Xenopus tropicalis: one gene and its partner. The protein of the gene in region 1 interacts with the protein of each later gene in a pairwise test. Links are inferred from orthologs where the notes say so. Each region holds a gene or a part of one and is shown on either strand. Other genes may lie near its edges.

What was found.
Region 2: the proteins of rgs2 (region 1) and lrfn1.1 interact in a two-hybrid assay, tested with the Homo sapiens proteins (2 studies listed by BioGRID and IntAct). The link is inferred for Xenopus tropicalis from reciprocal best matches to the Homo sapiens genes RGS2 and LRFN1.

What each region holds. Positions count from the first base shown.
Region 1 is NC_030680.2:117,677,433-117,684,173, reverse strand, and holds rgs2 (regulator of G-protein signaling 2), read right to left. Parts: upstream 4,296-6,741; 5' UTR 4,219-4,295; coding exon 4,106-4,218; intron 2,906-4,105; coding exon 2,792-2,905; intron 2,683-2,791; coding exon 2,621-2,682; intron 2,228-2,620; coding exon 2,061-2,227; intron 1,627-2,060; coding exon 1,429-1,626; 3' UTR 483-1,428; downstream 1-482. UniProt on the Homo sapiens protein: Regulates G protein-coupled receptor signaling cascades. Inhibits signal transduction by increasing the GTPase activity of G protein alpha subunits, thereby driving them into their inactive GDP-bound form.
Region 2 is NC_030684.2:81,084,462-81,090,735, reverse strand, and holds part of lrfn1.1 (leucine-rich repeat and fibronectin type III domain-containing protein 1), read left to right. Parts: intron 1-94; 5' UTR 95-177; intron 178-4,563; 5' UTR 4,564-4,583; coding exon 4,584-5,965; intron 5,966-6,274. UniProt on the Homo sapiens protein: Promotes neurite outgrowth in hippocampal neurons. Involved in the regulation and maintenance of excitatory synapses. Induces the clustering of excitatory postsynaptic proteins, including DLG4, DLGAP1, GRIA1 and GRIN1.

The DNA of each region.
Region 1 (6,741 bases):
AGACCTATGGTAGATAGGGCAATGTTCAGACATTGTGCCTGCTGGGATTCATGGGAATGGGATTTTAAGCAGTAGCAAGTAATCTCCTCTGCACAGACATACTGTTCTGTTAGTCTGACAACACTCAGTAAGCAGGTTTCGCATTACTAGAACCATGCAATAGATGGACCTCAGTGTTTCTAGAACAATGGTTACCTTATGGTGAGGCAGCACTCCAAGCTAAAGGTGTGTACAACATTAAGGCCAGTTAGGATAAGAATTGGGGTTTCATATGTATACATTGTGTTGTATATGTCCTGAACTTTAGAATATTCACTGTTACTTCCATAGTATGTGTTAAGGTGGTGGGGGAGGAATCCAAATATTTAACTGCATGGGGGGATTCTGGACCCCAAAAACTCTGACAGACCTCTGACCGTAGAGTCTATGTTACAATTCAGTTTGTATCTTTTATCTGCATTTATAAGAAACAGATGCAAAAGTACTAAGAAAAATAATTTATTCATAATTAAATCAATATATAACAGCAACTTCACTGAAGTTTAACTGCCTTCAAGGCAGAAAATGACATTATTTAGAGCCCGCCTGCTCTGTTATACAAATTTCCCATACATACTCATACACAGCTTTAACAAATACATACACAGCATTTTATACACAATAAATACACACCATGTGCTGTTTTTAACAGTGAACACACTGTACAGTTGATGACATATGACATATTTTCAGGTGGATGAACTGTTTGAGATACATTAATAAGATATGGATTATCTCATAATCACACAATAGAATTTCTGTAATGTATTGGAAACCTGCAACCTAATAGGTACTGCTCAATACACAGGTTTGCTAGCCCACTGGCACCTCTAACCATTTTAAACTTCCCACCTGGTGAATGGCAGGTTTCATAAACAGTAGCCAGGGCTGCCAATATCACATAATGTACAGCAGAATGAATTGCACAGTGAATGTTAAACTGCTTTAGAGTCACTTCTTAAAATCTGAAATATCTCAAGAACACTTGGTAGTGCCCATGTCTGATTCATGACATTTTAACAGATGATTATTCTTTAATAATGGCCAGAAACAACTCAGATATCTTGGATGGTAAAACCTTTAGTCCTTAAATCTCCTTGGGCTAATGACAGTACTTGAGCTCCCACTGTAGTGCAACCAACAAGTAGATGGATTTCACTGTCTATCACCGTACATTGTCCATGCCTGAAACAGTGCTTCTGCCTCTCCTTATTCACCAGTCACCTTATTTTCTGTATGACCTTTCTTGAGTCAACAGCCAAATCTCATTTTCGATGTTGCCGACACAGTCTCTAAGGCCAAAGATATGAAACCTCTATGGATTGGTTTCTTCTGAAGGACTTTGGTGCAAGTCCAGAGAATATGCGTTGCTTAACTTCAACTGTGTTTTCATGTTGCCTGGGGCTCGCTGGGCATCTGTGGCACTGGCTGGCACAATTCCTGGTAGAATTCAGACTGAATAAAGCGTGGGTATGAATTATTCACCATCAAGCTGTACACCCGTCTCTGGGCAGCGCTGAAGCAGGAGTGTGAAGGTTCCTGCATGGTTTGCATAATGTTTTCCCGAGTTTGAAAGTCAATGTTAATCTGCAGGAAAGATATAAAAATAAAGTTATGAATTGGTCCTGATGTTTAATGAAAAATAACACATTTTTAGGCTTGATTTTAAAATATATCTCTTGTTAAATAGGTGATGGTCTGGGAGAAATCATAGTATTTTCCTTTGTAAGCTCTGCTACTTGAAAAATACCAGTGTTTCGGCTTAGGAGACTAAAGTGTTCTCTTTGTGACTAGTGCACTTGAGCTACACCCATAGGTAAGATAGGTTATGCACACAATGCTTTCATCACCATTACATTAAAATGCTATTTAGAGAACATAAACGGTAACTGTGTCAAAAGACTTCTTAAAATAACTATGCAAACAAATGGCTGCATTACTCAAACACAACTCTAGTATGATATCGTATTTACTAAGCAACGACTACATTGGGGTAATGGTTCTGGCATGTAGCTGCTTACCTCTTTGGGGGCTTCCTTTTCAATGAATTCATCATAAATCTTCTTTGCTTTTGCTGTCAGCTTGTGTGGGGATTTGGTCTTTTTAAAATCTTCACATGCCAGCCAGAACTCAATATTCTCTTCACTGAACTCGGATTTTAAAAAGGCTCTGAATGCTGCTACTCCGTCTGTTAACAAGAGAGAAACAAATGTGTTAATTACTTTTTCCTGTAATGATAATGAACTTCAAAATCCTTGGGCTACTTATATGCTTTTCTATGCTATAACTATTCTCTGATTCCTTTTATGAAACTGATTAGATAGACAGACAGATAGATAGATAGATAGATAGATAGATAGATAGATAGATAGATAGAGATAGATAGAAAGATAGATAGAAGATAGAAAGAAAGAAAGAAAAAGTTTTCTGCATCTAGGTTGTGGCATATCATAATGGTTGTGCACCTTTTAAGCTGTATATTAATACACGCACACTATATATGTATGGTCCACAGAAATACTGATTCCCCTTAATATTTATCTATCTGCTGTGCCCAAATTAGTTTCTGATAATAACTTACATTTGCTGGCAAGAAGATCATCAAAGGTTTCTGACCAACTCTTGGCTTCTTCTGGAGTGGGCCTGAAAGATAGACAGGGATCATGAATACTTCTGCTTAGTTTCCCATTGCCTTACAAAGAACAATATTACATTCAGGTAGTGAGATATAATCAATCTCTATATACTGTACCTGCAATAGGCGTTCTTTTTGCCTCTTTTGTTCTGCCCCATATTTAAGGACCCGTTGGATGTGTTCTGAGAATTCTGCAGGAAGTAGCTCAGACGTGTCTTCCAATCTTTTAAACTGCAAAGGGAAAGAGAATCTTTTATTAAAACTCTTTAAACGCCACAGCGCAGTTCAGTGTTAGAAAGCAGAATAAAGGCATCAAAAATTCTGTTGCCTGGAAATGAAAATTGCCTCTAAACTTGCCCAGCTGTGAAGGGGTTAACTCCCAGGCTATCTAATTAGTTCTGCAGCCTAGCGAAGATCTTGTGACCTTTAGTCTGTTTCTTTTTAAAGGCAAGTCGCCTGTTGCTTTAAGGAAGACTTTTGATCTGCTGAAAGTATTTATAGCTAAACTTCAGAGCAAAGTACAATACCATCTGTGTCAGGGCGGCAGCTCACTCCCCTAGGGAGCAGTTAACAATTAACGTTTCTATATTTGGACCATGGTTCCACATCAGATATTAAAATTAAAAAGGGCAACATAAATACTGAGGTTTAATTGCTGCAATCTAAAGATCTAATTAGGGATATATAGAGGGTTAGATAAGAGTGGCTTTTATAGACTCAATTAATCTTTGTATCTTTGTTAAACATTATCTTACCCAACGTAATCTATCTCATAAGTGCGTCACACTCGGTATGACTAGTTATTACTCGTGTTGGCACATTTTAAGGAAACACAAGAGGCCATTGCAGTTGCTTCTCCCAGCTGTGCAACGTATGTTGCCTGTATGAGATCATTGCATTACTGTACAGCCCAGGAATGACTTATTCACTGAGGCTCTCGCTGCCGCCATCCTGACTATTCCTGCGCTTTTACTACTCTACAAGCAATTGGTTTCCATTATCCATATTTTAATAAAAAGCAAATCTTACTGCATTACTGTACTCTTATGTCAGCAAAATAAAATAATATTAATAAACCTAATGCAATAATGTGAATAGGCACGGTTTAGTAGTTTTCACGCATGCATCTGGAAACTGAAAATAGTTTGAATGCAAAAAGTTGCACAGGGACTTAAAAGCAGTGTAAAACTATCCTTAAAAGCTGGTATTTAACTGATGCCCAGTATTATATATATATGTCTATATAAGAAGATATGCAGCAGAAGAAATACATTCTGCAATAAATGCCAGTGCCATTGGTTTTTAGGGAAAGCAGCCATAGAGAACTGAGCTCTGTAGGGAGAGCCCATGCCATTTGCAATGCTCGGTTCCCTCTGCAGAGCGCAAAGCAGCAGATAATACAGACTGACAGCAATGTGTATAGAAACTTACATAGTTTTCTTCATCTTCCCTCTTTTCTCCTCGTTTTTCTGACAGCCTCCAGGAGACGAGCGTTCGACTTGCCCACAGTTGTGCTGAATGGCAAGAAACATTGCACTCTGCATAATGTCCCTCAATGGATTTGTATTAGTCCCAGAGCTCTCTTCTGCTAGTTCTGTCAGTGAGTCAGTGATGCTGCTAGAGAGCTAGGATGATTTGTCTCTATACAGACTGCTGAGGCTCAACTTTATATGCACCCAAGGTGGGGCTGGGCTTAGGCGCCCCCTCCCTTGCGCCTCTGCTATTGGCTGAGCCAGTTCCTGGCAGTTTGGTAAATCTCTAGTGCTGACGTCTTTGTCTGGGGCTGCTGCAAGTGTATGTGTGCTAGAGCTGCTGCTTCTCCTGGGCTCCTGGCAACTACACTGAAAACTAGTGATTAAGCACCCTGTATATTAAGCACCTTGTATATTATTCTTCTTTATTCTCAGCTGTATGCAAAAGGCAAACAAAATATCCAAACCCCCTTTTATCCTGGGAGAATTTCTGTTGCAGCAAGTAGGAAAGGGAAACTTCAATCTCCCACTGACATTATATGCATTATACATTGTATAACAGCAATAGGGAGCTCTCCTTTTTGCTTAGTATTAGTCCAGCTGCGCTTGGAAAACTGTGTTGCTTTGATGGCACAGGGACATGGAATTGATGGCTGGTGTAGTTCTGTTTTCCTACAGAATAATGTTAAAGCTTATGCACGGCTTTTCCCTCTTTCTGTATACTTTGCTTAACAGCTATTCTAATGGTTACCATAACTTCTAAGAGACCATAAAAGTTTTAAGAATCCTTACTGCAGCTCCAATCATTTGTGAGCTCTTACAGGTGGCACATCTATGGGCTATACATCAGCTTGAAGCCCAGTCTGTACTGTGCAACTGGTATTCCTTACAGATATATACAATATATGTATAAATGTCCTTTATTGCAACATTCAGTTTAAGTTTCATAGGGGCATATAGGGGATATGGGGAGACAAGCATTTTAGAAAAACAGAAGGAGATGTTTCATATATGGAAATTTACATTGTTCTTTGTTCAACTATTTCTAGCACCGATCTGGCTTATGTTGCCAGGCAATGTACGCTGTAGGGGTTTTCAAGAAGGGTTTCTTAGGTGAATGTCTCATAAGCATAAGAGTATACATGTATAAGGAATATTGGAGGAAAAAAAGTGTAAGAATCTTTCCCCTGCACCACGGGTTTCCTATTGTAAATTCTGTGTTCTTAGGTTGATCTCTGTTTTGTTTATGTAGGGAGGGGGAGGCTATAATAACAATAGGGATAAACAGAGGGACAGCTCACATTAAAATGAACATGTAGCTTGATGTAGACAAATTACAGAATGAGACAATTTGCAATTAGTTTTTTTTGTGTGTGTATTTTTTATAAGATCTAACTTCTGGTTTTGCATCTCTCGGGTTTGATATTTATTTTTTTTAGCAGATATATGGTTGCTAGAGACTTACTTACCCTAGCAACCAGGAAGCTGATTGGAAGTCAAAATGGAAAATGAATGGGTGAAAGCCTCTACAGAGAATGAGCCAGTTACCCTGGTGCATTCTGCAAAGAGTTTAAATAGGAAGCCTAATAGTTTCAAAAGATATAATTTAATTAAAAGTGAAGATTTCATTGAAAAGTTGCAAATAAATTAATATATTGAATACTAAAAATTGAAAGTGGAATTTCCCATTAAGTGAGTTGCAGTACACCACCTTTTTGCAGGAAGGGAAAAAAAAATATATATTTAGGGGCCGCATATTGTTGTACAGACTATATATTATATAAACTTTGCAGGTAAACCTTTAAATCCCCTGCAGCACTGGCTGTCAGCTGCACAATAGATCCCTTGTCCTGCTGCCAGAAGGGGTTCATAATATGCGACTATTAAACCTGAAAAACAAGGTTTCTAAAATTAAACCAGTGACGTCAAAGCCGTGAGCGAAATGTTGCAAGGGATGCCTACCATTTCTGCTATGTACAAAGCATGCCTTTATCAATATTAATGGGCTGTAAAACATACGTGAACCCTAATAAGTAAATGTTAGCTGAACAGCAATCTTGCTGATACCCTGATCAGAACTCCGGTTATCCATTGATTTGTGTAGTTTATTTGTATATGGCATTTATTACAGTGACTGGTTAAAAACACCCAGTGAATTGTATTGGGAGGTTATGTTGTTGTTAGATTGGTGCAGATGCTTCAGGCTGCTGCCAGCTTGATCAGCTAGTTTGGTTTATTGGCTAAACAGCTTTTGTAAAAGTATGCGATTGGTCCAAGAACATGAAAAAATAATAGAAGAATGCAATGCAAACATAGATAAGCTAAAACACGTGAAAGTGGGACAACGTGTACCTCGAAGAACTAAAGGCATTTGAAAACATGTTTTCACTGGTGGGGTTGGACAGTGTTGGACTGGAGGGTCCAGAGCCCTCGGGGCTAGCACCCAAGTTGCAAACTCCCACATTCCTGTCAAAATCACCCCCCCCCCCATGCTCCACTACGTACCTCCGATCCCACTATGTACCTCCTCACTCCGTCACTCTTGTGACCTAGGCAAAGTAGTTAGGGGGGGCCTCAAATTCCAGACAAGTGGGT
Region 2 (6,274 bases), on another chromosome or scaffold:
CCTCAAGGGCATCAAGATGTCACAATGTGGCATCCGATGTTCTATTTATTTTTTGAAAATTGTAATTCAACATTTCTTTATCTGTCATTGGCAGGTTCCTGTAATATGCTGCAATGTGACAGGGCTTCCTGTTGTGCTACCTCAGGACAAAATGTAATGCACCCTCCCTGGTGAGAGGTAGGTACTGCACTGATTTGCATGTGTGCAAAGCACATAGGGAGCACACTGGTCAGACCTTAAATACTAAAATACAACAACAAATGGCTAAACAAAAATCTGGTCTGGTCAAATATGAGGCAATCCCAAGTTACTAGGTTAGATCATTGTTTCTCAGGCAAACCCAGATTCATGAACATACATGAAAGTGCCATGTTTTATACATTATTGTAATTTTGGAAGTGAACTCGGCTTCCTCTTTTGCAGCTCTTTAACCTCTTAGCCACATGGGACATAACTGTTCAGTTAGTTTGCTTTTGATCCTGAGTACCTAGGCCAGAAAGCAAACATTAATGTCCCATATGCCCCCCCCCCCTCTAGTCACTGATTGGTTACTGACTGGTAGCAGGTTGCAAAGCTGCTAAGAGCATGCAAAGGAGACAGTAGTGTTCTGGCTATTACATTAGGCATCTATTACCCCAGCCTTTATAAATTACATTTTTGCCTAACTAACAATATTGAATACATTTTTTTATTTTGCACAGCCTATCAATTTCTCAGTTTAATTTTTACACTGAACTGTTTCTTTAAAGTTGACTCATTGTATGAATGAGATATAAAGAATAGTTTCTTCATATGGAAAAAAGACAGATGAGGGCCTGTATGGAGAAATGGCTTATGAATGTAGTGATTTTGGTTGTTAGATAATTTTATCTGGGTCAGTGAAGAATTGCAACAATACCAAATGAGAGGATCTTACCATGTATGGCCAATGTAATACTGACCTCTCCCTACAATGCTGCATCTGATTCTCTGTTTAACATTAGACATCATCTGGCCTCTTTATACAGTATAATGTTGCCTTGGACTCTTGGTATAAATCTCAGTTTCTGTGAAGACATAAGTATTCCTTTTGCCACACAGTAATCTCAGTCTCTGTAGTGTATCAGCTCATTGGTGCTCACTTTATTTAACAGCATGTTTTTTTGCCTCCTGGACTTACCTCCTCCCTCTTGCCAATGACAGGCACACAGTTGTGAAGCAGCCTGCATGTCTCTTGTGAAGCCTAATCAAACTGAAAAGTCCACGCTTGTCCTGTCCAAAAGTGTCACAATGACTCAGTCTCATGTTACTTAATCTGAGACAGCTGACATTTCTTTACTAAGAACAGCAGGAGAATAACTACCACCTCACATAACCTATCAGAGCCATGCCACTCAACCACGCATGGTCAGGGATAGAAAACACGAATGTTTATAAAATACACATTTGTGCCACAATATGACACGACTTTCGAAGATATGTATGCATTGCCTTTGTTATGTAAAAAAATGTCATAGATACTGTATGTTAGCGAGTCCTTCTGATTAAATGCATTTAAAAAATGACTGTTGACTTGCACCCTATGCAAAATATTTTCATGGCAGCAAAAACAAAGGAAGAGTGGTACTCCAATTGGCACATCTATGAAATGATTATTCAACTCCCAAATCTTGATTAAAGTATATTCCCAAAATGGCAAAATAGCATTTTAAATAGCATTTTAAGTAATAGAGTAGAAGCCTAAAAATATCAGCCAGGAGCAAAAGTAACTGGCCCCATAGACAGAAGAGACATCAGTGTACCCTTCATCAGAACGTTAGCTTCTTTTTTTGGCCATATTTTTATTCCCACTGTCTTGTTGGTGAGAAGCAGTTTTCAATGTCACTTTAGAGGGATTGTCTACATTTAAGGTAACTTTTAGTATGATGTAGAGAGTTATAATCTGAGACAATTTACAATTCGTCTTCATTTTGTATTATTTGTAGTTTTTTAATTACTCCAGTTTTTGTTCGGCAACTCTCTAGCTTGGAGTTTCAGCAGCTATTTGGTTGCTAAGGAGTTACCTTAGCAACCAGGGTGTTGTTTAAATGAAAGAATGGTGTATGCATAGGAGAGGACCTGAATAGAAAGATAAGTAATACAAAGCAACAATAAAACTGTAGCCTCACAGATCAATAGCTTTTGGCTGCTGGGGTCAGTGACCCCCATTTGAAAGCTACAAAGAGTTAGAAGAAGAAGGCAAATAATTCAAAAACTAAAAAACAAATAATGAAGACTAAGTCGCTTAGAATTAACCATTCTATAAAATACTAAAAGTTAACTCAAAGCTGAACCACCCTTTTAATAGGTCACTTAACATAATGTAAACTATCCGTTGTTTAAGTATTTATTCTGGGGGTATCGTTTTTCTTTAACACTTGACTGTTATTTCTAAAGAGTGGATATGGAAAGTTCTCAAAGACGTTTGTCAAGAAAAGATATTTGATCTTGTGAGTTGGGAGAAAGAATGAGGCATAAGCGCCATTCTAACCATAAATGAACTATAGATCATGCATGTCTATAGTATCTAAATGCCAGGCCCTACCAGGTTCCCAGGTTGCTGGTATTTACATTGTTTATAGTACAGGTTTGGGATCCATTATCTAGAAAATTTCTAAAAAACTGCAGTGCTCTTTACCATAATGTCCTATTTGAACAAATAATTGCTTATTTCAATTGATTTGCTATTTTCTGTATTATTAACACAATCCCTGCTACTAGATGAAAACTAAACTAGCATAAATCATTACTTATGGTAAAACAATACTAACTTATTTTGATGTTTAAATGTTAATAGGCTTTAAGGTACAGTCCTTCATATTACAAATGGATTCCTTATCTAGGAAACTCCATTCCCCATGCATTTTGGGGACCTACATTGTTATAATGGTGCTCCTCGAGCTTATGACTTATTATTCCTCCCAAACTACATGATATGACATTATATTTTCTGAGCAAATCCCCTTGGGAATTTTATATATGCAGTCATATCTATACTTCATAAGCAACACTCTTACAGAAACCCCAGGTCCTGAGAATTCTGGATAACAGGTCCCGTACCTGTACCTTACTTTTAAGATTATCCAAGCTAGTACCAATCCATGTTAAAGACAAAACAAATGATGTTTATATTAGCTTTAAAGCATAATACTAGAAAGACACCATATCTGGAAAACTGATACCAAGCATTTCGGACAATGGATCCCATACCTGTACCACTAGTCACATTTTTCATGTTCACAGCAGATAAGTATACCTGTAACATGCATATATTTGTGGATCTTGTAATGTGTTTTAAATTAAAATGCATTTGCAGATTTGAAATCCCCAGACACTCTTAACAACATTTCATGGGGTGAGGAGTGAAGAGTTCCCTCTTTCATGTTTACTAGAATGTCTATTGTCTTACGCCCCTACCCCCAGAACTTTGGTGTTTGAGATCCATGTACTTTCACCAAAGTTACTATATGAACATTTAAAAGGCATGCTGCTTGGGCCTTCGAGTATATTTTACAATTGTTATTCTTAAAACCAGACTTTTACATTTCATGTTTTATAGTGTTTATTATATAACACATGTGTTAAAGTTGAAAACAAAGAAAAAGATTCATCAATCTCAATCTCTCTCTTACATAATTCCTACCTATATTTAAACGGATCCATAGGAAGGCGAAACCCCCTCCCCCAACCTTGTCTCCAGTTTGCCGCATTTCTCTCTGACCTAATTATATCATTGTATTATAATGTTAGGTGCAGTATGCAATACATTACAAATGGCAGAAAGTAGTATCCCTTTATAATGAGTACATTTTTGTGATCTTTATAGTATGCTACTGGTTTTAACCATACATTAAAATATTTCCATTAGACATTAATAAAGTTGTTGGATCATTGTTTGGACTAATTTTTGAAAGGATAATATTACCATTACCAACATAGGTACTAGTGCAGTTGCCATTCGAAAGCAATCACTTCTTTGCTACAGAGTGTTTAAAATGAATTGCTGTTTAGTTGCTATTAGTAACTGTACTATTTCATAGCTTTGCACCTATGAGCATGAGCTTGCACCAGTAGGATTTATAATAAAAGAGACTTCTTTCTAGACATGCAACAACTTTAAAAAATTTTAATTTAGCTGCATACTGAATCCTCGACAAAAGATACAAAACTCGCACACTAATTTAAATTATAAAAATTGCAAATAAATTGAAAAGTTAGTTTCATTTGTCCACAAGTTTTACTTTAACAGTTTGGCTGGGCACTCAGGATCTAGCCAAATCTGAACCTTGAAAAAGTGCTTGATTTGGAAGAATCTCATAGCAAAAACCCTGAAATTGTCCCAAAAGACTGCATTTGCCTCTAAGAAATAGTTTGAAAAAGTTTGAAACAATTTTGTGTGACCTAAGCCATAGAGTAGTTGTTAGATTTTGGAGGATTCAGAGTTTTCTAAGCAATAAAAATTACAAAAGACAATTTGTCGTTTGTGGTTAGTAAGAAATACTATGTTTAAAAATGGATCCATGTTTTTTTCATTCTCTTACACAGACCATCTTGGCCAAAGGGCCATGGAGAAGCTGCTGTGCCTGCTTGTGATGGGAGCCCTGGGGTATGTAGAGGCCACACAGCACTGCCCTGGTCGATGCCTCTGCCAGAGCAACTCCCCTACACTAACCATGCTGTGTGCCAAAACAGGTCTCCTTTTTGTGCCACCAGCCATTGATCGTCGAACAGTAGAGCTACGTCTGACTGACAATTTTATTACCATCATCCGGCGAAAGGACTTTGCTAACATGACCAATCTTGTGCATCTGACACTGTCACGAAATACCATTAGCCAGATTGTGCCACTGGCATTTTTTGACCTCCGTTCTTTAAGAGCTCTGCACATGAACAGCAACCGGCTCTCTTTATTGAGGCATGAACACTTTCGGGGGCTGGGCAACCTGCGTCACCTCATTCTTGGCAACAACCAGATCAGTTTTATACAACCTGGTGCTTTTGTTGAGTTTCTGTCTACTGTAGAAGACCTTGACTTGTCTTACAATAATTTAGAGGAATTACCCTGGGAAGACATTGGTCAAATGGTCAATCTTAACACTCTGACACTCGATCACAACCTTATTGACCATATTGCTGAGGGGACATTTACCATGCTTCATAAACTGGTAAGACTGGATATGACCTCAAACCAATTGCACAAGCTGCCACCTGACAACCTCTTCCTTAGGTCACAAGTGTTAGCCAATGCTAGAGGCTCCAGCCCATCCTCCTTGGCCATAAGCTTTGGTGGGAATCCTCTGCACTGTAACTGTGAACTTCTGTGGCTTCGACGACTGACAAGGGAGGACGATCTAGAGACATGTGCCTCTCCAGAGCAGCTGACAGACAAGTACTTCTGGTCTATCCAAGAGGAGGAGTTTATCTGTGATCCACCTCTTATAACACGACATTATGCCAGCAAACCCTTTGTCATGGAAGGACAGTCAGTCAGTCTGAAGTGCAAGGCGGTAGGAGATCCAGAGCCATCAATCCATTGGATTGCTCCTGATGGCAAGCTGATCCATAATACAACAAGGCTTGTGGCCCATGACAATGGATCCTTGGACATCATGATAACAACACTGAAAGACAGTGGTTCTTTTACTTGCATTGCCTCCAATGCAGCTGGAGAGGCTACTGCCCCAGTGGAATTGGCAATAGTACCCCTTCCACTTTTGGTTAACAATACAGCGCACATTAAAGAACAAGATCCTGGTTCCTCAGATATTACAACTTCTACCAAACCTGGCTTCAATGATACGAAGAGCCACCATGATCGAAGAATTGTGGTGGACAAGCTCAAATCCACATCTGTAGTAATTCAGTGGCCATCTGAGCGCCACATACCTGGAATACGTATGTACCAGATCCAGTATAACAGTTCTCTGGATGACTCTCTGGTGTATAGGTAAGATATTTTTTTTATTTTGCATAATATTAGTTTTATTAGATTTGTAGATAGTTCATCAAAGTCACGGGCTCGTCCTCCTTGCCTGTTAAAACTATTGTTTCCCATAACATTTAATTTGTGTCTTTATCTAAGTGTATATATATATATATATATATATATATATATAAATAAGCTATCTGTATATAGGAAATAAACAATGTACTGATTGCATGAACAAACCAATCTATACTGAATGTGATTTTTTAGCTGTGATAATATGTGTTTTTTAATGTACTAGGTAGGACATTGTATAGCCATGTTCTGCAA